4 linked regions of the Saccharomyces cerevisiae S288C genome follow. Changing the gene in region 4 together with the main gene of any one other region gives a genetic interaction. Each region holds a gene or a part of one and is shown on either strand. Other genes may lie near its edges.

Region 1 (9,673 bases), on a different chromosome or scaffold from region 4:
TCATAATTACTAACAAGTATAGCCAATTCGCCTTCTCGGCATTTGTGTAATCACTTAAGAAAGAGTTCCATTCCTCAAAGAGCTTCCAGCCATTTATCCACTTAGACACTCAACCAAAATTTGCAATTTGTGGTTTAATCGTTACATTAGCTGTATTATCATCTGCCCTGTTCGCCGTCGGTTCTAAATCTTCATACATTAAGAAACTCTTCTTCTACACAATTTTAAGTGTAATTGGCAGCTTGTTTGCTGGCTTGACCACTGTTTTTGCTTCGAATTCTTTCGGTGTCTACGTCTAGTGGCTCTTCGTTGGCCTATAAAGGAATTATCGATGAAATTATATACTATACTTAAGAAGTATTTTGGATGAGAATATTAAAAAGAAAGGTGTCAAGTAAATTTCATTATATAAACGGTTTAAGACATATTAATATGCGATTTTTGGGAAGATAATGACTGATATCACATGGCTTTGTTGTTTGAAGGTGCTTGTTTTATGCTCATAAATTCAACACATCTTCGTCGAAGTTAATAGCTTTGTAATATCTTGGATCTGAAGAGTTGGTTGAACCGAACGCGTTATACTCAAGTAATGTAGAAAGCATAGCTCTAGTGTTTGATATTACATTCTCTAATGCGCATTCGCTATCCTTATGTAAAAATGTTAGTATTGTGTTGTTACTAACTTGAAATAATCTCTCTTGTAAGTATTCGTCACTCAAATATCCTGATATCTCCTTTGGTGCCTCCACAAGTGGATTGGAATATGCTAACAATGCAGAGACATTACTCAATTGTCCACTAAACCTATCCCTCAAAGATTGTGGAATTTTAGTATCGTAGATAAATTCATTAGATAATTCTTGACCCTTCAAAATTAAATTTTCAATTTCGTCATCATCTTTGGATGAACTCTTTTTAATCATCACCAGATAATTCGCTAGTTTTAACTCAAATACCAATTCTAGATTATTTTTTAACAGATCTGGAATTTCGTTATCGATATAATTGATGCATTTGCTAATTTGACCTTTGTTTATCAAGTATCTTAATTCTTGCCTTATCTTTACCATACGTTCTTCTTTCATGATCTGTCTTTCATTGTGCCTGATAACATCTTTACTTTCAGAATGTTGCCCATTGACATTAACCGCATCTTTTTGCAAATCTTTCAAAAACCCCTTTGCAACATCCACCAATCCTTCGTGGATCAAATAATCATTTATCATCACGTTTAATGTATTAGGCAATGAACCGTCATCCACGCTTAAGTTGTTAATATTGTTCACGTCTGGTCTAACTAGCTTTCCATCTATAAACCTATTATCTTCTCCCAAAAGAAACTTCAGATTGTTGTCCTTCTCATCGTTAAGCTTCTTTGTATCCTTATTACCAGCGGCACCATCCTCTTGATCAATATCCATCAAATCTTCATTAACGTTTGTTGATTTATTTTCTTCAGGCCCATTTTCAGTTTCATCTTCCTCACTTTCATCAGAGTCGAATTCTTCAATTGAAACGTCCATTTGGCGTCCACGACAAATATGCTCATACGCCAAACTCTTCCATTTATCTTGATATCCAATAATGTCAAATACAAAATCCTCATTTAACCCAAAATTTGTTTTGATAGAATTCCCAGGTCGTAAGGCCACATATGGGACGAATTCTAGATCATTCAAGTCGGTGAATGCGTTACCTAAATGGATACCATTCTTCGTGAAAAAAATTGAGCCATCGATAAAATTTATGCCACAACCAATAACGTCATCCCTACCAAAAGGCTTAGCATATTCCTTAGATTGTTCTGTAGAATTAGTTATCAAACCGTCAAATCCGCAATAGCCAAATACATTAAGATCAAATCCGTATTTCTGACACTTATTTATGGAACCATCCACGTTAAGAGACATGGCTGAAACGCCCCCTTCATAAATATAATCACGCCTTTGAGTACCTTCCATAGTGAAAGAAGTAGAAGGTACTCTATTGGAACTCATGTTATTACTACCACCTAAGCTACTACTAGAACCGGCCACGCTTGAACGAGAAACACTCTTTTTTGTAGTCGCTTCCATTAATTCATTCTCTACTAACTTGTATCCGATAACAATGTTACTATTTTCAGCACTCTCTGTACTCGTTACACTGAGAACTTTAATCTCGTAATAGAATATAGTTAACTTATTGTCTGGCAATGACTTATTTGCCCAAGTGACTGCAAAGTCCACTTTCCCAGAGTTCTCAAAAGAGGTTCTCAGTCTATTTCTGGTAGAGGCAGAAGAAGCGCTTGATCTTTCATAAGTCATGTATGAGTGATAATCAGGATTAGGTTGTAAATGAGTAATACCATCTTGAGATAGCTGCAAGCTGTTATTTGGTTGAGCTTGCCATCTAGAAGGTAAAAAGTACCCAAGTATTTTGTAAATATCAGGGATCATTGAGTTTTTCTTTTTGCTACCACTGTTGGACAAAACATTTGTTGCCTCATTGTCATTTTTGTCGTTACCAGACGATACTCTAGGAGAAGAAAAGGAAGAACTTGGAGACTGATCAGGGGGGTAGTATTGTAGACCACTGTTCTTGTCAGATGTATCCCACAAATTCCTTGATTCTGTTTCTATATTAATAGCTGATCTAGATCTTTGATATATCCATGGGTCCGCAACCCTTTCGGCACGCTGCTGTGCACTGGACACATCAGCATCAGCTCCTCTACTTCCTTCTTCTCCACCTTCCTCGTGATTGTCAGAGCCATCTCCTTCGTTGTTATCGTCCGTGTCAGTATCCACTTCCCCTTCTAAGCTTTCCAGATCGGATTCATCGTCGTCGTCGTCATCGTCATCGTCATCATCGTCATCATCATCATCGTCATCATCATCGTCATTTCTGTCATTTTCCAGGCTGGTATTAGAGTTAAGCGCCATTTCACGTTCGGATAAAACGGGTTCTAATAGTTCCTGAGCATTTTTCCTCATGTCTGAGGAAGCTTTCATAACTCGCACTGAATTTTTATTTGAATCTTTAACACCAAATCTCAAAGTAAAATCATTAACGTCTGGATAGAAATATTTATAGACTTGAATCAGGTAATCGTCGTTGACAGCTTCAAACGAAATTGTGCCTAGAACACCCAAATTCATCAATTTAGACCAGATTTCTTTCCTTGTTAAAGCAGTTAACTTTGTCCTGCCCATTCCAACGCCAGTGGGATTTTCATCAGCGTTGATTAAGTTAGTGTTCTTCAGTTTGTGAAAGAGTTTTCTATGTTGCAAATATAAAATCCATAAATCATAAGCCACAGGCTGTTGCAGCAAGTAGCTCGGGAACAAACAGTTAATGAATTCGCGGTCTACGTCATCCATATATTCAGACATTTCCTCTTAATTATGCTGAAATTCGACGCTTGGCTTTAACGTACTACTAATATTTCTGCTATAACAGTAACAGTTCTGGTCCAATCCTTTGGCTCTTTCTTTTGGTTGATCGATTCATCAGTTCCCTCCCCTGAAAGGCTCGCGCGTCCTGTAATCTAGCAAAAATAGGCAGGATACAAAATACAGTGGAGTGGTAATATTATATTCTTATATGGCTATATATGTTTATATATAAAGGTAAAGACAAACAATAAAGAACATACATATATATATAGATAGATATTGTGTGTGTGTGTGTGTGTGTGTGTGTGTGTGTGTATAGCAAGCGCATGAATTTCATCACAATGTCATGGTAATGGTTGTGGTGATGGTCGAAGTAGAGGTGTAGGATACGTCTTCTTCGTCTTCTTCTTCCTGTTGTCGTAATAGCTCCTGCTGCCTTTGGAACTCTTCTGCTGCAGCTTTTTCACGCTCTTTTCTTTCACGTTCCTTTCTTTCACGTTCCTGAAATTGCAGGTTGGCTTTCGATCTTAGAATATACAAAAACTCACCACTCTCTTGAGTGAACGATAATATCTTCTTTTGCACTTTTTGCCTAAACGCGTTAACACGGGATAAGTCAGCGGAATGGTGAGCCAGCTTGTCTCTAGATTCTATGATCTGTTTCTTGCCCTTCAAAAACTTCTTCCAGTTAACAGAAGACTTTGCTTTCTCTTCATCAAGCGTAGTGTCATCATCTGCACCCATGTGAGCGTTGATAACATCCACATAAGCCATTCTTTTGGACCATTCATTTACAATGATATCACCCCATTCTTCAAATACCTCGACGTTTTCCTCTCTAATTGCATTAACTTTTTTTTCAATTTCATCAGTGATTTCGCTCAAATCTTTCTCCATAGCATTTGTCAGTTCGTCTAACGTCGAGCGCGTCTCGTTGAAGTACTCACGAACTAACTCTCTCGTTATGTACTGAGAAATCTCAGTACTTCCAGATTTATCGAAGAAAATTTTCTTGCCAGTTTCACTATCAATGCCTTCCACACATTCAATATCGTTAATGGCTAGCGAAATCTTGGAGAAGAACTTCTTAGATTTATCATCTAAAGATTGAAACTTGGCTTTAAAATGGTTGGCCTCCTCAACCAATTTACCATTGATGTATTTGGAAACATCCTTTTCAAATAGCTGTATGACGTCTTGTGTTTTCTGCAATATAGTCTCACTCCACATGTCAAAATCCTCTTGCAACAGAGCCTGTTCATTGACATTGACGTCTGTGGAGCCTTCAACGTCTGTGGAAGCCTCATCGTCGTGCGCATGATTAGCAACAGCGCTAGCCTCTTCCTGGTCCAAAGTAATTGTTTCAACCACTGTTTGAGTACTTGTTGTAGTTAGCTCCTCTTCGTCAGACTCCATAGTACTTACGGTTAAAACCATGTCCTCCGAGGAAGGCTCACGTGTGACAGAACCATGAATGCCATGCGTGTCCTTATTCTTGAACTTTCCCATTAATTTTTCCTCTGTATTACCAACAATAAAGTCGTATTTGGATTTGATGCATCTTGAAGTGATAGTAAAGTAATAATGGCCTATATTTTTATACTTTAAAATTCTTTCCTTCAAATGAGAGCGAAACTCCGCAGTAAAGAATTTGTCTAAGTTAGGTTTCACAAAAGCATTGTATTTTGCGAAGAAAAATCGTCTAGTCTTGACCATTGGGGAGCGGACCAATTGGTAATACTTTCCACAGTTCCATTTCTTACATTGTGAATGGATGACCTTGAATGCAGGCTGTATAGCGACCTTGTTCACTTTTACTGTAGCGTCATCGATGACAGGTTTGACAGCCGTGTCATATTTACGCGCCACTATATCGAAACCGGGACTAACTTTATTTTTGTATAATTCACAATTTCTTGAAAAGTAGGTGTTCCAGACTCTTGGATTGGTATAATGGCAAAGCGTTTGCGTGCGTTCACACGATATGCTCCCACTATTGAATTCGCAACAGTACTGAAGCAACGATACCAACACCGTCAGAGTTGTGATTAACTTTATCAGCTTTCCCATTTCGTTACGCTGCGTTCTTGTTTAGATGTAACAGCTTTTGTGCATCCAAGATATAAAGTACTTCAGAAATGGTGGTTGAAACAGAATGCCCATTACGCTTACTTTAAGGCTGTTCTTCAAGTTGATCCTTTCTTTGATACATGATTATCATCATGTACGTAGAAATCCGCCTTATTTCCGAAACCTGACTATCTTAGGGTTATACATAGAAACGTATAGGACATTTCTTACTTTTGAAAATTGTTCCTTGGGCAGTTCAGGGTTTAGTTAGGGTATTGATGCCAGCCCTAAATCCCCTAAATAAGAACTCTCGAGGATAATAACAGACAATAAACCAAGAGTTCATCCACGTATGATGGCTGTTTTTTATTCTGTCGGTTTTTGGTTGCCGTAGTAAATATAATTTGGTAAGCGTGTTGTGCTGTGTTGTGTTGTGTTGTGTTGTGTTGTGTTCTACTAATTGGATTGTGCGAATAAGTGAAACGGTTGCTTCACCCAGCGGGAAAAGGACAACCTGGTATTTGGTGTGAGATAAAGTTATAGACAATCTGGTCTTTTGTTATTAAGTTCTCTTTTCTTCTATACCGTCCAGTTTACTGCTCTCTTGCTTTTCGATAAAGCTAAAATAAAATAAAAATATGTCACTATGGCCCTTTGGAGAGACGCTGAGTCATTCCGGAATTGATTCGATACTTGAAGAGTACTATCTAATTTTTCGTAGTTTGGAGGGAAATGAGACCTCTTCAACTGACGACAAGAAGAATGAGCCTTCTATGGAGTCAGAGTCCGAATTTGGTACCGAGTCTCGGGATAGGAGTGACCTTAACCAGTCATTTATTGATAGGATCTTGTTGGAAACAGCTTTGCTGGATGAACTGAATGGAGCAGCCAACGACAGACTCGTCGACTTCATTTGCTTGGGATATTTCTATGACGACCGTTCCCAGCAGGTCCGCCACATGGACTACCTAGTGGACATGTTGATGGCTTACCTGAAGGACATAGACCGCACTGGTTATAGAACCCCATTTCTTTTAGAGAATTCATTCCATCAAACAGGTGAATATGAAGATCAGGACGATGAAGACCCAATGCTGTATGTCAACATTATTTCCAGTATTTTTTGTTCGAAAAGTGCGCCCATAGTGGAGGCACTCGTGCAAAATACCCCATTTTTGTCCTCTCTGTTCGAGGTTTTCCAGTTTGAAAATATTGAGGCAGAAAATTGTCCTATCTTGGCTGTTTTCCTTAAGATTAACGAAACTCTTCTGTTTGAACAGACATCTAGCTATTTGGAATTTTTCAAATCGCAACCGAACATTGTGGACAAGTTCTTATATCATATTGAAGTCTCACCCTTGGTTGAATTTCTCATTAAAATCATGCTGACTGATCAAGTTGAATCACCTACGAACATTATTGACTTCTTGTATCACCAGGATCTGATACCTAAGTGTTTGAATCTCTTGGAAAATAGCAAATACTCACCTGGTATTCAAAACAGTAGCGGAGAGCTTCTAAAAGCACTGATCAGCATTTCCACCAATTTTAAACTGGATACTTTGTGGATCGGACCTAACCGATTGACAAGACAGCTTGCCTCTCCGCAATATGTCGACCAACTTATTAATATAATCTTATTTCAAAGAGGCCATGCAATGGGAGTTGCCGTATCTATTATAATTGAGTTGATCAGGAAGAATAATTCCGACTATGACGAAGTAGATTTGTTAAGTACCACCATAGTAGACAATCCGCCTTCTCAAAGAGATCCAGTCTATTTGGGCCATTTGTTATATGAGCTCACTATGCATATGGAAGATTTTTATGCATTACTAATTAAACTTGAAAATGATGATGACGATGATCATGACACTGCTTCAAAAGCTCTTCCATCTGTTAAGCATCACCTACTAGAAAACCAATTGCATGAATCATTCAGGCCTTTGGGCTTTGAAAGAGTCAAGATTACAGAATTGATATCGGAAATGTTACACTGTTCAAATATGGGATTGATGAATTCAAAAAGAGGCGAAAAAATAGCACGTACCAGAGATAAATGCAGGGACACTCTTGATCAAAACTCACTAGAGAAAGCCATGAAAAATTTAAATATAAATGATAATACTATTACTTCCAATACATTAGAAGATAAATGTAATAATAATGATAGTAATGACAGTAATGACAACCAAAAACAAAAAAAAAATATTAAAAAAAAGTTTCATGATAATGAATTGTATTCTACTTTTGATACATCTGATGACAATATTGATGATGATGATGATATGAGTTTTGAAATTCCTTACGTCAGTGAAACGCAAAATTTGAAAATACGTAAAAACCCTACCATTGGAGATTTATTCAAAATTAAACTTCATGACCTTGGGTTTTTTCCAAAGTTTCTACAATTATTCTTAAGATATCCTTGGAATAACTTTTGGCACAACATTGTATTTGATATTATTCAGCAGATATTCAATGGTCGAATGGATTTTTCTTATAACTCATTTTTGGTCTATTCTTTGTTTGATTTCAAAAAGTCTACAAGATTTATCCCAAAACCTTTGTACGGCAGCAACCAAAAGTTACCTGTTAAAGACTTCCATATTATCTCTGATTTCATTTTACAAGGCCACAAGGATTCGTTTGAATTTTACGAAAAAGAGAAAACAAATTTAGGTTATATGGGTCAATTAGTATTAATTGCCGAAGAAATTGCGAAGTATTCCAAAATTTATAAGACCGATCTAATTGCTCCAGATATATATGCCTTCTTACAAGATGAAGTTTGGATGTCATATTCTAGTGACATCTTGAACGAAACAAGGACAATGTGTTCAATAATTCTTGGTGGAGGCCAGTTCTGTGCCGAAAGCGATGAAAATACTAACCAGGACTTTTTGGAAAAAGCTGATATGAGTAAACCAGCTCATCCATCCACAATGGATGAGAATGAAATTGTTCACGAGGAGGATGTTAAGTTGCATGATAAAGTTGCCGAGCTCATAGATGAATTGGGTCAATTAACCGAATTAGATATTCATGATAAAATTAAAGATGTTATTGTTGATCATCATTCCGACTTAAATTGATTAGGTTAAGTCGTCAAACCAATTTTGACTTTTTTTTTCCTACATTTTTAATATTTTGTTTCTCGTTTTGCCTTATTTAATTTTGTGACATGTAAAAATTACGAAGCCTATTGGGGGCCAATTGAAGTAAACTAAATATAACAATAGTCCTTTGTAGTTCAGGAATGTTCACCAACTATTCACCAAAAATTATTGTCTAGCTTACTTTCAATAACTTATAGCTATCTATACAAAAATAATCATATAACTAAAGTCAGGCCCAAACCAGGCAAAACAAAACCATAATAATGGGAATTATTACACTATCCGGCAATGTTCTACATTTATTGAAAGCCTACCCAAAAAAGGGCCTTGAAGAGGTTTCTCAACCAGAGCCTAATACAGCAAATGATTCCTCGACTGAATATAAAGGAAAAAGCAAGGATGATTTTCAAATGGTCGAAAAATCCAATACAGATGAGAGATACAATTTTACAAGAACGAAAAAATGGTTTTTATTGATGACCTCAGAATATTACAAACTAATGGAAAACAGACTTTTAATGTTTTGCATTATCGCTTGCTCTTTTATTTGTGCTATCCAATTTCTTTTCTTTATAATTTATTGGACCAACATTGTTCCACGGAAGACGCAAAGGGCAATAACTAACCTAAATTACGATTATTTAACAGCCCATCTAAAAGAGCAATGCGTTCCATATGCGAAAATTCTTGACCAATGTATTCTCTAGCAATCTCTGCTTTTGTACATTCGTAGTTTTTTCATGTTCCTTTCATAAATAATAAAAAAAGCGTATTCTTTTCTATATAAATAGAATGAAAAAAAGTTGAACATAATATCAGTTAAGGTTAAAATAAAGCCAAACGATATAAGCAACAGAAATGAGTGAACAGGAGCCTTACGAATGGGCTAAACACCTATTGGACACCAAGTATATCGAAAAATACAACATTCAGAACTCAAACACATTACCTTCACCACCAGGATTTGAAGGTAATTCCTCTAAAGGAAATGTTACAAGAAAACAACAAGATGCTACATCTCAAACTACTTCTTTGGCACAAAAAAACCAAATAACAGTATTACAAGTACAGAAGGCATGGCAAATTGCGTTACAACCAGCCAAA
Region 2 (9,014 bases), on a different chromosome or scaffold from region 4:
CAAAAACCTTTTTCTGGTTCTTCGGATGGCAATTCTGTAATGAACGACCTAGGTAATAAAGTCGCCATCAAGGTTTTTGATTGTAGAAGTGCTCAAGATGGCAGCGAAGAGCAGAATGTAAATGTAACCACGAACCAAATGTATTTAATGTTTCAAAGTAACAATTACAACGTGCCGCCACCAAATTACAATACCGAGGATTTGGGTTCTCAAGGACCTCCGACGCATGCTTATTACGCTCCATTTCAGCATCCCATCCATCTTCAACCTCCCGTGCCTCCTGTATATAAGAACAACACATATTCTGCCACAGACCAGTATAGTGACTCCTCGTTTCCTAATACTTCAGGCCACACTCCAGTAATTGATAGTAATTACTATAATGATGCTCTGGCTTCTATACCTACAACAACGACGGGTAGTACTACAATGACTACAGACAATGGCAATACTATTGACAGCGAAGAATACATTGATAACATGGAAGTCTTTAGTAGCGAGGAAAATGAAAACATTGATAATGTAAAGCAAACCGATCTTAAATCTGAAAAGGACTCGAGTCTTCTTTCAGCAGCTTCAATCGTGAAAAAGGAACAATTGTCTGGCTTTGAAAATTTTTTGCCTTTATCGAAGACAGAGTCTCCCTTAGTTACTGCAGACGAGATTAAATCATCTTTGAATTTGGAGAATATTGACAATGCTGACAGTATGAGCTTCAAGTTAAAAACTTCACCTATACGGAAACATTTTCATGTTAAACCCAAAAGAATAACAAGGGTGAGGACAGGAAGGGTATCACACAATATAATTGAAAAGAAATACCGTTCCAATATTAATGATAAAATTGAACAATTAAGGAGAACTGTCCCAACGCTACGAGTAGCGTATAAAAAATGTAACGATCTTCCCATTACATCTAGAGACCTAGCAGACTTAGATGGCCTAGAGCCAGCAACAAAATTGAATAAGGCGTCCATTTTAACGAAATCTATTGAATATATTTGTCATTTAGAAAGAAAGTGCCTACAGCTAAGCTTGGCTAATCAACATTTATCAAATGACACACGGGATTCTTTCGTCCATCTTACCGAGCCATCTCAACCGTTGAGTGACAACAGTAGTAGTGAACAAGTACAAAAGCAAACCAGAAGCTGCCAACGCCAACGGCAGCGGCAGCCACGACAACAACAACCATTGCATAACATTCAATATAATATTCCACATCAAAACGGCCTCATGAGCGGCACCAACAATTCACATGATATGGATTTTAACAACGCAGGAGACTTTTAATACTTGAACAACAAAATGTTTCAACACGACAGATAAAACGAAGAAGAAATACTATATACAAATCTGTACTTGTGTGTATGCGTAACATTGTAATTTTAATTTTGCATTGAGAAATCTATTTTATTCATCTCTTTTAGTGTTAGTAAACACTCGCAGATGCCTTGAGCTCCGCACCGTAATTTAGTTTAATTTATTTCTCTTAGTGCCGTCTAAATAATAACGATCTAAAAAAAAGATTCCGGGAAAAAGAAACTATACCTTATATTTAGTTCATGCAGTTAAATAAATGTTGTTAATTAAGGGTAAAATATGATGATGTATTTATGATAAGTAAAGAGTAGGGGTCACCTAACATTTTTCACAATTGCATTTACTCTTTTCACAAGTGCACGTGGTTTCGCATTTGCATTTTTCACCACAACTCTTACATTGAGGGCTTCCGGTGCTGTGATCACATTTGCACTTTTCACCGCCAGAACAGCTTGGAAGGCAGGTGCTCCCACAATGACAAGAGTCCTTACAACATTCGCCTTAACAGTCACATATTTTTACAGTCATATTTATTGAGTACTATTTGACATTGTAGTGTTCAGTGTAATATCGCTTCGCTATTCTTAGGGGGGACGATGTGCGCCCTTCTTATATAGGCCCCGCTTGATCACTACTTCACAGCCCTCTCGCATCCCTATCCTTTTTTTGTCCGAAAGACAAAAATCACTTCCACACAGCAATAAAGACGCATTTATTGTTCTTTTTCTTAAAAGTGCTTGCAGTAGGGGGTTTAGCAAAAGAAAAAAATATATGACCGGTTGTTATGCGATCTGACGTAAAGTGGAACTCATTTTGAAGGGTTTCTGCACAGAAGTCAATGCCAGAAGGATTTGGAACACCTACAGGACTGAACGTCGGACTAAAATAATGTTGGTAGAGTATGGTATTACTGTAAATTAATCGTTTATACGTGACGTTGACGATGGGATTTGATTTTCTTGTATATCTGACTTGAAAATAAAAGCAATAAATGACCACAAGAAATAAAGGCAGCTGTACTTCTGCAGTTATGTCTTTTCGTCCACTGGGCCTGCCTTAATCACTATTTTCGTAATTATAAATGTGGTTGGTTCGAAGTTCGGTTTCCATACTTTCGTTGTCACTGATGTCTGTAGCTAGATAATTGGAATCTCTAATATGTTTGTCGGCTCCTGGTCTAACAGTTGAGCCTTCTTTATTCTGTCCAATGCCATTTTTTGGTTCATATGAATTGGTTTTTCGCCTAGGCTTCCTTAATAGCTGTCGATATTTGGATAATGTCGTTTTAGTATTAGGTTTGCCATTCGATTTACTTCCAAAACTGGGATTTTGCCCAAATTTATTCTCACTTTTCATTATCTTATGTCTTCTTCTTCTGTCCCTTATTCTTTCGATTGGAGATTTCCAGGTGGGTGAAGGGGATCCTACTAAACTTGATGAATCGTGGGAAGTAGTGTTACTTTTAGTAGTGTTTAAATCCCTGTTTAACGTTATGGCGCTTAAATGCTTGCCTAAATCTTCTCCGTAATAATTGACTGTTGGATTGGCGAAAAATTTGTCCCTATTGTTAATTTTTCGTCCAAGGACTGTTTTTTTGCTTATGTGCAGCTCCCTCTTTTCCAATACTCCAATTAAGCCCCAAACGTTCACTGTTATTAAAACTTTCAAAAGATGAACAAAGTTAAATGTCCAACCTCTAACATGTTTGGTGAAAGCAGCGAAAAAAATTGTGGTGAAATAGAATAAAATAAATATAAGAATATTATACGCCAATAATGGTATAGTTTCGTGATAATTTTCCCAAAGAATTCTCAATTTCGTTTTACACTTACCGTCCGTATTAATTTCAGCAGTTTTCGGTAAAAGTATGTAAGCAAAATTATGCCATGTGAAGTAACAAATAATGGAGATGAAAATTGTGTAAATCAGTAATTCGATTAGCTTGTAAAATACCTTCAAAACTACAAGGTTCTTTCTCCAAAGAAGGTTTGCGAATAAAATGTTATCGGCTAGTGAGAGGAAGCAACCCACGGTAATTATGATATGTGTCCCCTTTTTCATTTTAAATGGGATCCAATTCCAAGTTGGTTTTCCATAATTGGACTGTAAGTAGTGAACAATATAAATCCAGTTTATATCACTCAAAATATTTGCAACTAATTCACATATTTTATATGGTGCAGTTTCTACGATGAACGATTCAAATTGGCTCGCATCCTGGTAGTCATCGTGATATTGGCTGTCAAATATGACGGCTATAGTCTCGTTTAGAAATACAGTTCTTATAATCGCAGAGAAAAGGACGTAAACATGTACAACTTTATTTCTTCTATTATGATTATCGGATGGCAGTAATAAGACAACCAAAAATAGCATCCATGTTGCCACACAGATACACCCAGAAGCAAAGGTGATCATTATCATTCCTAAGGGAAATGGGTCTTTTCCGATGTATTTACTACTGTCATCTTGAACGTTGAATTTGTTGTTGATGTCATAAACAAAGTCTTGTAAGACATGAGAGAAATTAGGATTTGCACTGCCATTATCGCATCGGATCAAAAAGGATGGGTAATTTAAAGTGTAATTATAAGCACGTAAGTGCCACGAATTACTTGCTAGAGAGATGAAGCCACCTGTCAATACATTTACCGTGCATGAGTTTTCATATTTATTTAGTAGTTTATCATCTATCAAATCAGTCAGATTGTAAGCTGGAATGTTGTCGATGTGTTTTTTATAAGGTGGCCGGTGGTCGTAATGCGGTGGTCTTTCATCACCAAGTTTATGTCCCGGAGGACCAGGTATCAAATCGGGAGGTTGAATTCTCTTTCTTGCTGCTTTTTCATACGCACCTACAAGTCCTAAATGGTAAACTAAAGTGAGGAGGTAGTAAAAATGCAATCTTATGATCATTAATCTTGCACGTAAAGACGTTCCGCAACAAAAAATGCTTGTGAGTGCAATATCAATAAGTATTGTTTTTGAGCCTTCGGAGTTGAGCTGCCATTTGGTGGTACTTGTTTTGAATATGATAGAAGCCTTATCTTTGACACTTCTTCCAGTCAATTTTCTCGCCAAGTTAAAAAAAAAAGTTACAATTTTCTCATCACCCCGAAACAACAAAAGAAAGTATATTGCTCTTTAGCCCTTCCTTGCAGATTTTTCAATCCAACGGGGCTAGTAAATCTGATATCAATCACATCGATTGTGTTATCTTCACATGTTGTTTGATAGAAATCAGACCTTCTTTTTTCTTCTTCTCGGATGTTTATAGTTAGTAAAGCTAAACTGTGTATATATGGCAATCACCGAAGACGAATTATTACAGGACAGAAATAAATGGGTTACACACCAGAAATCAGGGACAAAAGGGCCCAACGGAAATTTTATAGGTTGTTTTGTTTATCTGTGCACATAGGCGACAAAACTAAAGTTATGTATCTAAGAATTACAACGTAGTGTAGGTGAGCGGTACTTGAAACTTTCTTTTTGTAAACACCATAAAAGGATATTAATGACATCGGTTGAAATAATGACATCTAGAAGGAAAATTACAACTAGAAGAAAGCGTGATTATGTTGTAAAGAATCCGGCAAATAGAAAAGCTAAAAGATGATTGCAAGGCTAGTGAAGATATTTCAAAACTTAGTTACTCGTTACCTTAAAAACCTTACATTGTTCTCATGTATTACATGAAATTCTATCTTTTCTTTTTGAATAAGCTCTAAGTATTAATCCTCAAGTATTAATTGCCCACCACCTTCTTAAAACTGTTGTTTTTTAATTACAATTTTCTACGCTAACCCGTTTCTTCCATTTTCTCACTGTTAGTATTCCCATATAACGATCTTCTTAGATTATCTATAAAAGCGTATTTTGAGATTTGTTGCAATGACCTAAAAATGGTTGACAGTCATTCTTCTTGTTGCTGCTTTTAATAAACTAATTCTTTAGAGAAGGATAAGTACTGTGACATATTTACACTTTTTAACTAACTTCTTTGGCCACAACTAGTGAAATGTTCATCTACTGCGCAATTCAATATGCCCGCCGATAGCTAAGCGATAGCTCTTTCAAAAATTTTAAAAAAAAGGTACTATCAAACTGAATTGGAATGATTATGGTTCAAACTTACTCCTGATTCAAATATAGCAAAAAAATCAGGTGTGCAGCTATAGATCTGCCAGATACACGAGTCATTGCGAAAGGCACCATATATTACCTTATTTAGTGCCTTCTTGAAAAACAACTACAAGATCTTAACGTCACTGTATAGTGCCATTCGGTGAGCAAAGACAGGTATTGGTACTAATTGACAGTAAATGACTTATCTAACCCGTTGACGCAATGCTTCGCTTTTGCCATCAAGAATGTTGAACTGTGCAAAATGGTATTTTTTCGGAGAAACATTTCAAAATGGAAAGGTAACAACGTCCGTAGTTTTGTTTTTCCGTTTTATCGTTTACATGATTATCCTGAAAAGTCCCCTGCAGCAGCAATCATAGGGCCCACTCACTGCCATGTCTTCCCACCTCCTAAGAAATGGCTGCCCCACGCCCCTTTGACGACTTACTCCTCAAGGTAAAACTTGGCGTACGGAGAGGGGTCGAGAAAAGGTTCCGAGTGGAAATGTACGCCAATGTTTAGGGCTACGTGGAATGTGATCTCATTCTTACAAAACACGTAGATGATGAAAAGGGCCGCAAAAGTTTCTGTTATTCTTTAAATTGTTCCCAGAAATCCTCGAAGGAATGACCTAAATCTTAAGGCACTTGCTTTTAAAACTATTGTTCGTTAATTTGTTAGTAATGCAACCAAGTGCTCCAGCCCAACCGAAAAAAAGGGAAATTAACTTTACATCGATAAGCTCTGACGCAATGCGGGAGGGGATTTCCCGAGCGGAAATACCACGGCGCTGAAAAAAAAAAAATCGGAACCGGAGTTGCCTCACCGATCCCAATGGTGACATGCAAAGAAAATTTTATTGGCATTAAATCTATGAGGAAGAGGGTAGGAAGGAGTACTAGGCAAAAATCGTAACTAGGAGCAGAAGGCGAGTAAAACCCTTTCAATACTAGGGAGAGAGTGATTTGATAAGGATACCTCCTCACTCGAGAACTAGTTGATGTCTGCATCATTACCAAAGTTCATGTATATAAAAAAGGAACTGGGTGATTTATTTTTTCTCACGCATTCTGCTTACAAATAATTCATTAGATAATTTTACTGATTAACTACGACTTTTTGCAGCCGTTAATCTCATCATAGATATAGAATAACAGCTTGGAACAAGAAGGAAAACCAAAAACCTACTCAAATGTTAATGCAAATAAAAATGGACAATCATCCTTTTAATTTTCAACCTATTTTAGCTTCCCATTCAATGACAAGAGACAGTACAAAGCCAAAAAAAATGACGGATACCGCTTTCGTGCCAAGCCCTCCTGTAGGGTTTATTAAAGAGGAGAACAAGGCTGATTTGCATACAATTTCGGTAGTTGCTTCGAATGTGACTCTACCGCAAATTCAGCTCCCAAAGATTGCAACACTTGAAGAGCCTGGTTATGAGAGCAGAACTGGCTCACTTACAGATCTTTCTGGAAGAAGAAATTCTGTTAATATAGGAGCATTGTGTGAGGATGTTCCAAATACTGCGGGCCCACATATTGCAAGGCCGGTGACAATAAACAATTTGATTCCTCCGTCTTTACCAAGACTGAACACATACCAGCTTAGACCGCAACTATCAGATACTCATTTAAACTGTCACTTCAATTCTAATCCATACACCACTGCATCACACGCACCATTTGAATCTTCCTACACTACTGCATCTACATTTACTAGCCAACCGGCAGCTTCATATTTTCCCTCAAATAGTACCCCAGCTACGAGAAAAAATAGTGCCACGACTAACCTTCCTTCAGAGGAAAGACGTCGAGTTTCCGTTTCTCTTTCAGAGCAGGTTTTTAACGAAGGCGAAAGATATAACAATGATGGCCAGTTGATCGGTAAAACAGGCAAACCTTTAAGAAATACTAAGAGAGCTGCCCAAAATCGAAGCGCACAAAAGGCGTTTAGGCAGCGTCGTGAGAAATACATCAAAAATCTCGAAGAAAAATCAAAACTATTCGATGGCTTGATGAAAGAAAACAGTGAATTGAAAAAAATGATTGAATCATTAAAGTCGAAATTAAAAGAATAAAATAATGAATAATTATTAGTACTAGTAACATCTTAAAAGTTTTCAAAGCACATGGCAAGCACTTCTTCAGGGGGATGCAACCCCCCTTCTCCAAAGAAAATTGATGCCTAAGGTGGCGAAAATATTACGAGATAGGAAACAATTTATGGTTTCTAGTTTCAGGCAGCTTGTATTAGGTAATCAACAAAGCTTAATTTTCACCATTTTTATTTTCTTTCCTTCATCTCCCTTTTTTTATGGCAGGCACATTACTAAAAAGGAAAGAGTCAAGAGTGTAAAAATATACGTAGAAAATACATAGTAAGAAACGAAATTATATCATAGCAATTTGAAAAGTTTATTTCCCTAATTTTTTCAGCTTAGCGAATGTTGTCATGGAGCTTAGATATTCTCGCTTTTTTTTTTTCGCATTCTGATGTAATGAATATTGTTGACGTAAAGTTGTGCCAATTACGTAATTTTTTTTGTTTCTAAGGAGAGTTCCGGCCAGAAATTTCCTAGGGCTGATCCGGAGAACGACAGGAAAGATGGTCCGATGTTTTTTTCCCTCGCCCAAGAAACTTATTATCTTCAAGTTCCGATTTCTCAAATATCAACCATAGCATGAAACAAATTTAGTATACTAAGTGAGAAGATCATTATATGTACGTATGTATGAAAAAGCAGTAAAAAAAGAATTCAAGATAATAAAGTTATATTTCGTATTATTTTTAGCGGCCAGTCCGGATGATACCAGCAGCGATCAACGTCTGAATCTTTTTGAATACTTCTGGATTTTTCATGTGTTCTTGTAAAGCAGCGGGATTCTGTTGGGCCTGCTGCAAAATACTTTGCATAACAGGATCTTGCATGATCGCAGCCACTTCAGGATCTTTCATGGCCCTTTGATAGGTTTCTTCTGGGGTTTCGTTACTGGTACCAGGTTGGAATCTTTGTTGGCTTGCCTTGTAGTACAGTTGATCAATTTCCCTTGCACTAGAACCATTATTCACTTCAGCATCTTTGGTTCTGGCCGCATCTAGTGTTTCCAAAGCGGAAGCATATTCTTTAACAGCAATTTGTGCGGTGGCCTTTCTGATATAAGCTCTCACGAAATTTGGATCTTTTTCAATGGCTTTGTTACAATCTGCGATAGCTTCAGGGAAAGACATTAACTTCGCTAGTGCAGCAGCTCTATTAGAATATCCTCTAGCATCTTCAGGTGCCCTTTTGATCATTTCAGTGTAAGCCTTAACAGCATTCGGCCAATCACTCTTGGTAAAATATTCCTTACCTTCAAGACGGGCTTCCTCCGCCTTTTCAGGGTTAACATACGCCTCCGCCTCAGCTTTCTTCAATTCTTTTTCAGCATTCCTTAACTTGGTCAAAATGTCAGCAGTACGATGTTCGGTCAATGATTTTTGGTAGTATTCTATAGTTTTCTTCAAGTCACCCAATTTGTGATAGGCATTACCAATACGCGCAAATGATTTGGAAATGACCT
Region 3 (7,546 bases), on a different chromosome or scaffold from region 4:
AAACTATCTTTACATTATATTTTTCCTAAGCTAAACATCTCATCATTTGAAAATTTTTCAAATTTTTTCAGCATTTTCTTTTTGCGAAGAGGGAAAAGAAGAAAGAAAAATTTTCAGTGAGAACAGAAGATCATATGTTACGAGTAGAAAATACTAAAAGTTTTTCGATAAAAAGGGAATATATAATATAAATAAATCAATCTGTCATTGAGTAAGTTTACAATGCAGCTGCCTCGAACTCTTTTTTCAATCTAGATTCCACCGCGTCAATGAACTCCTCGGTAGTGACATAAGCGGATCTTTCAGACTTACCGAGAATGAGCGCCAAATCTTTAGTCATGATTCCATCTTCTTGCACTGTATTTACCGTAGCGCTTTCCAATATTTGGCCGAACTTAACTACATCTGGAGTATTATCAAGTTTACCCCTTTGAATAATACCTCTAGTCCACGCGAAAATTGATGCAATGGAATTTGTTGACGTCTCCTTTCCTTGCTGATGCTGTCTAAAATGTCTTGTTACTGTACCGTGGGCGGCTTCGCTTTCAAAGGTTTTACCGTCCGGGGTAATCAACACAGATGTCATTAACCCCAAGGAGCCAAATCCTTGTGCAACAATATCTGATTCTACGTCACCGTCGTAATTTTTCATGGCAATTATGTATCCACCTTTAGATTTCAACATTTGGGCCACCATATCATCAATTAAACGGTGCTCGTACCAGATGCCAAGGGATTCAAACTTCTCTTTATAACTTCTAGCATACATGGCTTCGAAAACATCTTTGAATTTACCATCATACTTCTTCAAAATAGTATTCTTAGTAGTGGAATATAATGGTAACTTCCTTTCAATGGCCAATTCAAAGGAGGCCTTCGCAAACCCTTCGATCGAATCTGTAGTGTTGTACATCATCATGGCAACCCCACCATGTTCTGGGTAGTCAAATACCTTCAGATCTACATCATGAGTTCCGCTCTTGGATTTATAAACAAGCCTCAACTCGCCTTCTTCAGGGACTATTACATCGGTAGCTTTGTACTGATCGCCGAATGCGTGTCTCCCAATGATGATGGGCTTCTCCCATTGAGGAACTAGCCTTGGAATTCTAGGGATAATAATAGGTTCTCTGAACACTGTACCACCCAAAATGTTTCTAATAGTACCATTTGGAGATTTCCACATCTTTTTCAAATGAAATTCCTCGACCCTTGCCTCATCGGGTGTAATAGTCGCGCATTTGACAGCTACTCCATACTTTAAAGTCGCGGTGGCAGAATCCACAGTTACTTGATCATTAGTCTGGTCACGATACTCCACGGAAAGATCGTAGTACTTCAAATCAACGTCAAGATAGGGCAAGACTAACTTGTCCCTGATTAAATGCCAGATTATTCTTGTTTGCTCATCGCCGTCCATTTCCACAATGGGGTTAGCTACCTTAATCTTTGTCATTACGATTTTATATATATACGTACGTTACCTTCTTACCTCCTATTCTCGTGCCTGAGCAGCGACTGTAGTCGACAAGTCAAGAGTGTAGTAACATACAATTGCAGGCTGTCATTTATATATCATGCCGGAGACTAGTTTGCCTATAGCCAATTCCAACCGAACCAATAATGTTAAGTCCGGTTTTTGATATTATACTCCACCCCCACTATTCCTAGCCCTGAAAGGTATCAAAGAGAACACTGATGATTTGACTACTGCATATTCTTCCCTTATTTCCTTATTTGCCGATTTTCGGACCACCGGCAATGACATCCCGGAGTTATAAAAATAAATAGATAGACGTTCACGTGACCAAAGTGTCACCCTCTCCGGCTAACCCGGTGAGAACCCACGGGCCCAATGCCGTCGTAAGTGACGCATCTATCGTCGCATTAAAGTGAATAACTGTAAAACCCTGGAATAGTATTTCGTTCAGGGTTCGTGTTAGTTCCAAGCTATTGACGACTTCCATGTCGTCATTTTCTAGATCAAATTGAAGCTTCATCTGCGTATTTCCTGTGTCCTCATCGTGCAGAATGTGCGATGAAGAGTTGATCCATTGCTTCATGGGTAAGTTTAAGAAATTGATGTCGTTATGGTACAGATCGATCTGTCCCCGAATGGTATCGATGCGAACTCGGTCTTGCTGGTGCGTCTCGTAGAAGGATAGATCAAAGAATCCTAAAAATGTCCCCACAAGACTGAGCTTTTTGCGCGCTGCCCACCGTAGCTGAAGATCGTTGATCTGAAACTCTTGAATCAATTCACTGGAGTTAAACGTAGCATTGGTAGTAATGGGAATAAACGATGCTTCTTGGAAAATATCCTCCAGCATGTCTGCTGGAATCAATGAGTTATTATCTATACCATCTTCAAGGACATGGCCTCTTGCTGCGAACGTAACAGTCTCGTTCTGGTTCAGGACCGCATTCACTATTTGGCTCATTGGTGTAAGACTATTTTGAGGACATTCTTGGTATAGTAGTTCATCGGGCAGAGGACCTTCAATTTCATTTTGTAAACAGACGACGATATTATCCTTGTCGTGGTGCAGATTAATCGGTTCGTTAAAGCAAGACAAGGTTGGAATTGCGATAGCAGGCTCACCGTTACAGTCCGGTAGCTTGATTTCCCAATTGATGAAAGGGATTGACGTGCCTGGCGGAAGGTGAAGCCAGTCCACCCCTCCAAGAATCGTGATCGGATTCAGTCTCATATCGGCATGAAATCCATCAGAACTGGAGTCCCGCAATGTAAATCCTTGAAGAGATATTCCATCGATCATATTTTGAATCATCCGAAGGGGCGTTGCCGATATTTTTTCCCAATCAATAATATCTTTCCAATCTAAGATTTCGTCATTAAGTTTCAATAAATTAAACCTCGTGCCAAATTTTCTCTTGAAGATAGTCATATCTAAATTCGATTTTATATTTAAGGATTCAAAATCCCTATTCCAAAATTTTTTCAAAACTTTTACGATTTTCCAAATAGACGGTTTAACTAAAATTTTGAACTGTAGGTTATTAATCTGTCGGTGAGCCAAATTAAAACAAATGGGTTCCATGCCAACAACATCTCCCAGTTTATTCTTGAACACTAGATCTCCATCGAATGTGGTCACGTTATTCAGATCTATACAAATGGTTTTAAGAACTTTTTCATTGATGTACCGTATCCAGTCACGTTGGCTTCTGGCGTCCGAGTCATTTTCCGTTCCTGGCCATTTGTCATAATCGAACCAAATTTGAGAGTGTATAGACACCTGCAAATACTTACCTGTATCATTGTTCAGGTCAGAGCCCATATTATCTTTCCAACCATCAAGCTGAAACTCCACCAGTTTGAAATTTGTTACTTGAACTAGATTCTTTTCTATCACATCTGTGGGCGGCACATGTCCCCTAATATACTGCACTATGCTGACGCCAAAGAAACTTAATAAAACAATACCTAGCAGATATATAATTAAGCACTTTATACTCCGCCAACGAGATTTAATAAGGGTCTCATTTGCAACGTTGATTCTCACTTCATCATTGAGGAGTTGGCTTTCTTCAGTGTTTGGTCTCAACAGTGGTTGAGTTTCTAGATCTTGGTTATCCGCTCGTAAGGGTGAGTTAGTGTGCATCTTAAAAGGTTCAAGGAGTAATGCACTACACTAAGCAATAAAAAATCCCAAAAACAGGAGGATCTTGTGTCTTCTTCCCCTAGACAGTTCATCTTTTTGATTCTGGGCTTCGCATTTACCTTTAGAGAAAATTAAATAACCCCATGCATGCGATTCTAAAAAAAAGTTAACTAAGCGATGGGATGAAATTTTTTTCTGGTGGTTGTTAGCAAAGTAAAAACGAACAGGATATAGAGTGAATAAAGGACAGTGAGAAAAATGCTTTATTTGATCGGACTTGGTCTCTCGTACAAATCAGACATTACCGTTCGTGGTTTGGAAGCTATTAAGAAATGTTCTAGAGTTTATCTAGAACACTATACCAGTATCCTAATGGCTGCAAGCCAAGAAGAGTTAGAATCTTACTATGGTAAAGAGATCATCTTGGCTGATAGGGAATTAGTTGAGACTGGTTCTAAGCAGATCCTAAATAACGCCGATAAGGAAGACGTTGCTTTCTTGGTCGTGGGCGATCCATTTGGTGCCACCACACACACAGATTTAGTTCTCAGAGCTAAACGTGAGGCAATTCCCGTCGAAATTATTCATAATGCGTCCGTTATGAATGCAGTTGGGGCATGTGGCCTACAACTATACAATTTCGGTCAAACCGTTTCCATGGTTTTCTTTACCGATAATTGGAGACCAGACTCATGGTACGACAAGATCTGGGAAAATAGAAAAATTGGCCTTCATACTTTAGTGTTATTGGACATCAAAGTTAAGGAACAAAGCATTGAAAATATGGCCCGTGGCAGACTAATCTACGAACCACCAAGATACATGTCTATCGCTCAATGTTGTGAACAATTATTAGAAATTGAAGAGAAAAGAGGTACAAAGGCATACACTCCTGATACTCCAGCAGTCGCAATTAGTAGATTAGGCTCGAGCTCCCAAAGCTTTAAGTCTGGTACCATAAGTGAGTTAGCCAATTACGATTCAGGAGAGCCACTTCATTCGCTTGTCATCCTCGGCAGACAATGTCATGAATTGGAGCTGGAATACCTGCTAGAGTTTGCCGACGACAAAGAAAAGTTTGGGAAAGATGTGGCAAATGACCAAGAGTACTTCAAACCTGCGGCATGGGTCCCACCCACAGAAGACGACAGCGACGAGTAAAGGTAATGCACACGCTCATGTGTAGTTTCTTTTTTATAATGTATATTGAATAGATCCTTTCAGTCGGGTAACAATTCGATCCCAAACGAATCGGGCCCTAACGATATGTGTAAAAATGGCAATGAATGAACAAGAAGTTATAACAACAATTTCAGCCAAGAACAAGAGCGATCCTGGAGGAGATTATATACGGATACACAGGTACACAAGATGACGCAATTAAAATATTTGTTGCTGGTTTCTAGGCAAGGAAAAATCAGATTAAAGAAATGGTACACGGCAATGTCCGCTGGTGAAAAGGCAAAAATTGTGAAAGACTTGACACCTACGATATTAGCAAGAAAACCCAAAATGTGTAACATCATCGAGTATAATGACCACAAAGTAGTATACAAGCGATATGCTAGTCTATATTTTATTGTTGGGATGACGCCCGATGTTGACAATGAACTGCTGACCTTGGAAATTATCCATCGGTTTGTCGAAACAATGGACACATATTTCGGCAATGTTTGTGAGCTAGACATTATATTTAACTTCAGTAAGGTCTACGATATCTTGAATGAGATGATTATGTGCGATGGCTCCATCGCAGAGAGCAGTAGGAAGGAAGTACTGCACCATGTGACCGTGATGGACACCATGGAGAGCAACGATAATCTTGAAAGGGTATTGAGTTAGGACCACTAAAAAACAATGGAATGAAGAAGAAAGGAGAAGAATAAGATGAGAAGGGGGCAAGGGGCCCTACTATTATTACCGTCTGTCGCAAAAGCCGTTGCCCGGACAAAAATATCTTTTGCGAGCATCGGCACAACGTTGATTGGTCAGAGCGGTAAAAAGGAATGAATGTGAAAAATGTAAAGAATATATAGGCGATAAAATTATCATGCGAAGTGATGTACATATTTTTGAATTTAAGCATCAATAGGACGAAAGAATAGATTTCAGACTAAGATAAAATAATCGAGAATAATTAAAAGACGATAATGAAATTGTTTCAAAACAGTTACGATTTCAACTATCCATGGGACCAGGTAACCGCCGCTAACTGGAAAAAATACCCAAATGAAATATCTACACATGTCATCGCAGTGGACGTTTTAAGAAGAGAATTGAAGGATCAAGGTAAGGTCTTAGTTACTGAACGGTTGATTACTGTAAAACAAGGTGTTCCCAAATGGATCATGATGATGCTAGGAGGGACCAATATGAGTCATGTCAGAGAAGTTTCTGTGGTAGACTTAAATAAAAAGAGCTTGACCATGAGAAGCTGTAATTTAACGATGTGCAATCTATTAAAAGTCTACGAAACTGTAACATATAGCCCGCATCCCGATGACTCGGCTAATAAAACACTTTTCCAGCAGGAAGCCCAAATTACAGCATATGGATCCATTAGAAAGCTGTGTAATAAGATGGAAGATTGGTCAGTTCAAAGGTTTTGCGAGAACGCTAAAAAGGGTAAAATGGGATTCGATGCTGTTTTGCAAGTATTTAGTGAAAATTGGGAAAAACATGTTGATGACTTGAGCAATCAACTTGTCAGTAAAGTCAATGAAACCATGGAGGATGTTAAAATATCTGCAGGTACGCTTCTTAAAGGAACTGAAAGGAGCGGCAGAACCATCTTACAGCAAAATATTGACTTGTTTAGAGACGCATACAACCACGAAAATTAGAGATACAAATTCCTTGATCCCGCATGGCACTGCATACTACTTATATTCCTCTACTGTCTATCTATTCATTTGTTCTTTTGTTGTAAATAGAAAAGTAAATAATGACAATATTAAAAGCCTTTTTCAAAATTTAACGATCAATTAAAATATATAAGTTTTAAAAATACTTTACTTAAGCGTTAACCTTGTAGACGGAATGACACTTACCACAGTACAATCTGTCCTTGTGGTTAGCCAAGAAAACACCAGCACCACAAGTTGGGTTGCTACATTCTCTTCTCAATTTGGTAACCTTACCTTCAGCATCGACCTTGTAGTAGGACAAGACAGCCAACTTGACCTTCTTGTGCTTGTGCTTGATCTTCTTTGGGGTGGTGTAGACCTTCTTCTTTCTCTTCTTACCACCACCTCTCAATCTCAAGACCAAGTGTAGAGTAGATTCCTTTTGGATGTTGTAGTCGGACAAAGTTCTACCATCTTCCAATTGCTTACCAGCAAAGATCAATCTTTGTTGGTCAGGTGGAATACCTTCCTTGTCTTGGATCTTGGACTTGACATTGTCAATAGTGTCAGAAGATTCAACTTCCAGGGTAATAGTCTTACCGGTTAAAGTCTTGACGAAAATTTGCATCTTGGCTTGTCGGCAAAATTAAAAATTAACTGCTTCTTTCTTACCAAGTAATCTTGTGACTTCTTTGTATTGGAATAAAAGATAGAAGTAAGGAAGTTTCTGATATAACGAACATCTCAAAATATTTAAACCATTTAATAAGTCTAAAAGTATCTAGTTTTTCATTTTGATGAGTTCCCACCGCTTGAAAAAGTGCGCCCGGGCCAAAAAAAAAAGTTTGTACTAAAATAAATGATAAATGATAAACCCAATTCCTTACAGGATGCACGGAGGTAAACAGGAAAGATATCTCAAGAACTTCTCGTTCATTAACCCCAGGTAGATCGCACTAAAGACTTCACCACTATTGATAAAGGTTTTGTAGAATATTTATTATCGATACCTTGCGGTTGCAAATTAATATACCCATCAAATAATTAACCCCAACCAAGTTTAATTTCTCTCCT
Region 4 (3,580 bases):
ACGAAGAAGGAATAATGACCAAGTTGGTGAAAAGATCACCGCTGAGAAAATCACTCAGCATTCTTTAAACTCCACACAGCAAGAAACTACCCCTGAACAGGTCAAGAAATGTTTCAAAAAGCTTTCAAAAAAATTAGGCCCAGAAGGTTCCATTAATCTTTTTAAATTTATTATAGACCCAAATTCATTCTCGCGATCCATCGAAAATCTTTTCTATACCAGTTTTTTGATCAAAGAGGGAAAACTATTGATGGAACACGATGAAGAAGGTTTACCCACAATTAAGATAAAACAAAGCATAAGTCACACAGATTCAAGAAGTAAAGAAATTGAGAGACAAAGGCGTCGTGCCGCTCATCAGAATCACATTATTTTTCAAATGGACATGCCTACTTGGCGAAAACTAATAAAGAAATACAACATCACTTCACCATTCTTAGACTAACAGCGATAGAGCGCTGCATATAATATGTACAGTTTTTTTTTTTTTTTTTTTTTTTTCATAGCTGGTCCGTTCTCCAACCATCAACACTTAATAGGTCATTCAATGGCCATTGCCTAATTGGACATATATCTAAATCACTAACTAATCGTAAGCTTTCCCATATCTCGATACCTGCCCAGCCGATCATAATAGAGTTGTCACTACAAAGGTCCATAGGAGGATAATAAAAATTAAAAAAGCTTGTGGAGTTCAACGTCCCCAATTCCGTTTCTAATTTTGTTCTCAACCTTTGATTACTACTCACTCCACCAGAACATACAAATTCACGCACGTTTTTAAACTTTTCCGGTTGTGACTTGAGCACGTGCTTCAGTTTATTTATTATATGGTCGAAAACAGATTCCTGTACTTGATATGCAATTGACCGTATTTCGCGTTCTGGCAGTTCCTGGATTTCTGTTTTACCTAGTTTTGTCAAATTAGTTCTTAATGCTGTGATAAATGCTGAAAACGAAAACGAAAGCATGTTTCTTTTACTAGCGCTGTTTTTTAACGGACTGGGCATTTCTAGTTTTAAAGCAAAATCTTGGTCGTTAATATCTTGATTAATAAATTTCTCCATTTCTCTAGCGATCATTGTTCCCTTGAATCCAAGCTCTCTGCCACATTTATCTAATGAGTCACCCACTGCAATATCGATAGTATCACATAATATTTCGTGATCGTCAATTGCTCGTGACAAAACAAACGTAGTATGACCACCACTAACCAGCAGGCTAACAAAGGGAAATTGAGGCACTTTTCCATTTGTACCCATTCTTGGTATCAGCAAGTGTCCCAGCATGTGATGCACACCAATCAGTGGTTTGTTCCAGGCAACAGCTAAACCTTTTGCAAAATCTAATCCTCCTGATAATGAACCAGGCATACCAGGGCCTCTTGTAACACATATGAGATCAATTCCTTCTCTCGCATTGCTTTCTATCAGGGCTCTTTCGGTTAAGGGTCCTATCCGAGCTTGGTGATGGATATGAGCCTTTGTTGGTATAATACCTCCTTCGTCAATACTATCTAAAGTATCTTTCAAATTGGCTAGCACATTAGGAGCTGCACTTTTTGAGAACCTGTCCAAAACTGAAACGCATGTATCATCGCAAGAAGTCTCAATGGCTAAAACTTTATAGCCTTTTCTTAACTGTATTGGTCTGTTGAATGCACGCCTCTGCCAAATTCTATAGTTATCGAGGAGAAATCTTCCGGTTCCTTTTATTGATATCATAATGAAAAAAAAAGTTTCTATCCTTTCTTCTACTCTACTTATTTCAGAGCTTGAGAATCGCTGTTTGCTTTAATTTCATTGTCAATTAATCATCGCGCAATGAAGATGCCACTCTTTCCATTGGCAGAGCGGATCCGCCAAATAGAAATTACATAAAACAAGTAATTTAGCTATTTTTCAGAGTACGAAATATTTTATTATATATATTGAATCACAATTACGAGTACTTTTCAATTACATGTTAAAAGTGCTTCATAAGTAGCTCAAACAGTTATTTTTCTAATACTATACCACTTCTGTCAAAGACTTTACCTTTGAACTGGGATAGATTTTCACCTGCATAACTCAATTTGCTGGAAACTTCGACTAGTACCCCATCTTTTACAATAGCGCCTGCATCTTCCAACCACGAGGTTCCTAGTTTCAAATATGCTAGTCTGCTGGTCTCAGGATTATCGTTCTTAGAACCAGGACCGTTTTTTAAAGGTGAAAATTCTTTGCATCTATCTACTTCTAAGCACCCAAACTTGTTCAGTGGTACAGTGTCAAAGACATCAAATATGAATTGCTCTAATTTTATACCGTTTGGTTCGGTAGGCTTAGTGTACTTGCCGGTAACACTATCATAAGCTGGAATTTTCTTCTTCGCAATGTGATATGGCATATTCTCACACCACTGATCCAAATCACGTTTTAGTAAATCCACTAGGTAATAATGATTTACAATGTTGCCTGCGCGTAGTTTTAATAAGCCATCTTTATCCTTTGCTTCAGCCAATTCATTGGAAATTTCAGAATATTCTATGACACATGGTTTCTCGTTTTTAGTAGCAATTAACCCAACTGATTCATGCGCATCTCTCTTTCTAACGGCTTTGGTGGCCAGTTCGAAGCCATGCTTGATGGCAAAACCAATAAATACAGGGTCTGCGATTTTAGATAGGACATTATCGACACAGTACATGTAAACATGCTTGATTCCTCTCCTATCAAAGTCTTCGTTCAACTTGTTTTCCTTGATGGCACGGTAGAGTCCACCATTTCCATCTGGTGATTGAGATAGGTTTACTGGGTCTTTCATTAGGAAATGCTTCCCGGTTAAATCAAAGGCAGGCAGGGTTCCCTGGTTGAAGAACGTAATTTGTTCTTTATTCAAGCCAAAATAATTGTGTTCTTGAAAGTATGCCTCAGTAGCCGCTCTAGTGGGGCCTGATGTCATAATATACCAAGGAATTTCTACCTTTTTGTCCTTTACCATATCTTGCAACCTGATCAACTTTTCAGCTTGAATTTGAAAAAGAGATTTCTTAGAAGGCAATCCAATGTCGTAACAGCCCTTTGGTTGAGAGGATCCTAACCGCGTACCTTGTCCGCCAGCCATTAAAATCACTGCGACTTCACCCTTGCCAATAGCTTCAAGGCCTAAACGCCAGTATTCATTTTCTTTCTTACTGTTGCCAATAAGCGACTCGTACGAAGTAGGGGGCAATGGTGAAATTTCGACGCCAGTATCCTTAGAAGAGTTAGCTAGTGAGAATTTAATAGCATTTTGACAGTCTTCCAGTAGTTTTGCAGGGGACCTCTTGGAAGATATTTGCTCCAGGTTTGAAAGCAATTCTTCTTGGTCTTTGCGAGACAAGCTTTCCCAATTGTGGAAAAGTTGACTTTGTCCGGCTTCAATGAATAGCTGTTTTGTGTCAGTCATAGTTGCAGTTCGATCTGGTGTTCTCCTTTATATCTGCGTTTCTTTGCAGCGTTCTTGCTTGACGGTTGATCTTGGTTTTGTGTGGTAAAAGTATGCCTTAACGTAATAGGCAATTTTTCGTATTACGCGTAACTTTTTATTCTATAAAATG

The links.
Region 1: mutations in QRI7 (region 4) and VID30 together harm fitness more than expected from each alone (negative genetic interaction), as found in Saccharomyces cerevisiae (2 studies listed by BioGRID).
Region 2: mutations in QRI7 (region 4) and DFG16 together harm fitness more than expected from each alone (negative genetic interaction), as found in Saccharomyces cerevisiae (2 studies listed by BioGRID).
Region 3: mutations in QRI7 (region 4) and APS1 together harm fitness more than expected from each alone (negative genetic interaction), as found in Saccharomyces cerevisiae (2 studies listed by BioGRID).

What each region holds. Positions count from the first base shown.
Region 1 is NC_001139.9:63,375-73,047, reverse strand, and holds VID30 (glucose-induced degradation complex subunit VID30), read right to left. Parts: upstream 3,378-9,673; coding exon 501-3,377; downstream 1-500. Other genes in the region: OST5 (dolichyl-diphosphooligosaccharide--protein glycotransferase subunit), read left to right, coding at 60-299; SHE10 (She10p), read right to left, coding at 3,717-5,450; SAP4 (Sap4p), read left to right, coding at 6,089-8,545; YGL230C (uncharacterized protein), read left to right, coding at 8,833-9,276; chaperone EMC4, read left to right, coding at 9,428-9,673.
Region 2 is NC_001147.6:382,050-391,063, reverse strand, and holds DFG16 (Dfg16p), read right to left. Parts: upstream 4,240-9,014; coding exon 2,380-4,239; downstream 1-2,379. Other genes in the region: HMS1 (Hms1p), read left to right, coding at 1-1,293; YOR029W (uncharacterized protein), read right to left, coding at 6,129-6,464; CIN5 (Cin5p), read left to right, coding at 6,644-7,531; Hsp90 cochaperone STI1, read right to left, coding at 8,242-9,014. UniProt on the Saccharomyces cerevisiae protein: Involved in invasion during filamentous growth.
Region 3 is NC_001144.5:498,501-506,046, reverse strand, and holds APS1 (Aps1p), read left to right. Parts: upstream 1-4,997; coding exon 4,998-5,468; downstream 5,469-7,546. Other genes in the region: isocitrate dehydrogenase (NADP(+)) IDP2, read right to left, coding at 218-1,456; TAG1 (Tag1p), read right to left, coding at 1,800-3,626; DPH5 (diphthine synthase), read left to right, coding at 3,885-4,787; UPS2 (Ups2p), read left to right, coding at 5,777-6,469; ubiquitin-40S ribosomal protein eS31 RPS31 fusion protein, read right to left, coding at 6,642-7,100. UniProt on the Saccharomyces cerevisiae protein: Component of the adapter complexes which link clathrin to receptors in coated vesicles. Clathrin-associated protein complexes are believed to interact with the cytoplasmic tails of membrane proteins, leading to their selection and concentration.
Region 4 is NC_001136.10:273,153-276,732, forward strand, and holds QRI7 (putative N(6)-L-threonylcarbamoyladenine synthase), read right to left. Parts: upstream 1,725-3,580; coding exon 501-1,724; downstream 1-500. Other genes in the region: Smc5-Smc6 complex subunit NSE4, read left to right, coding at 1-445; QRI1 (UDP-N-acetylglucosamine diphosphorylase), read right to left, coding at 1,996-3,429. UniProt on the Saccharomyces cerevisiae protein: Required for the formation of a threonylcarbamoyl group on adenosine at position 37 (t(6)A37) in mitochondrial tRNAs that read codons beginning with adenine.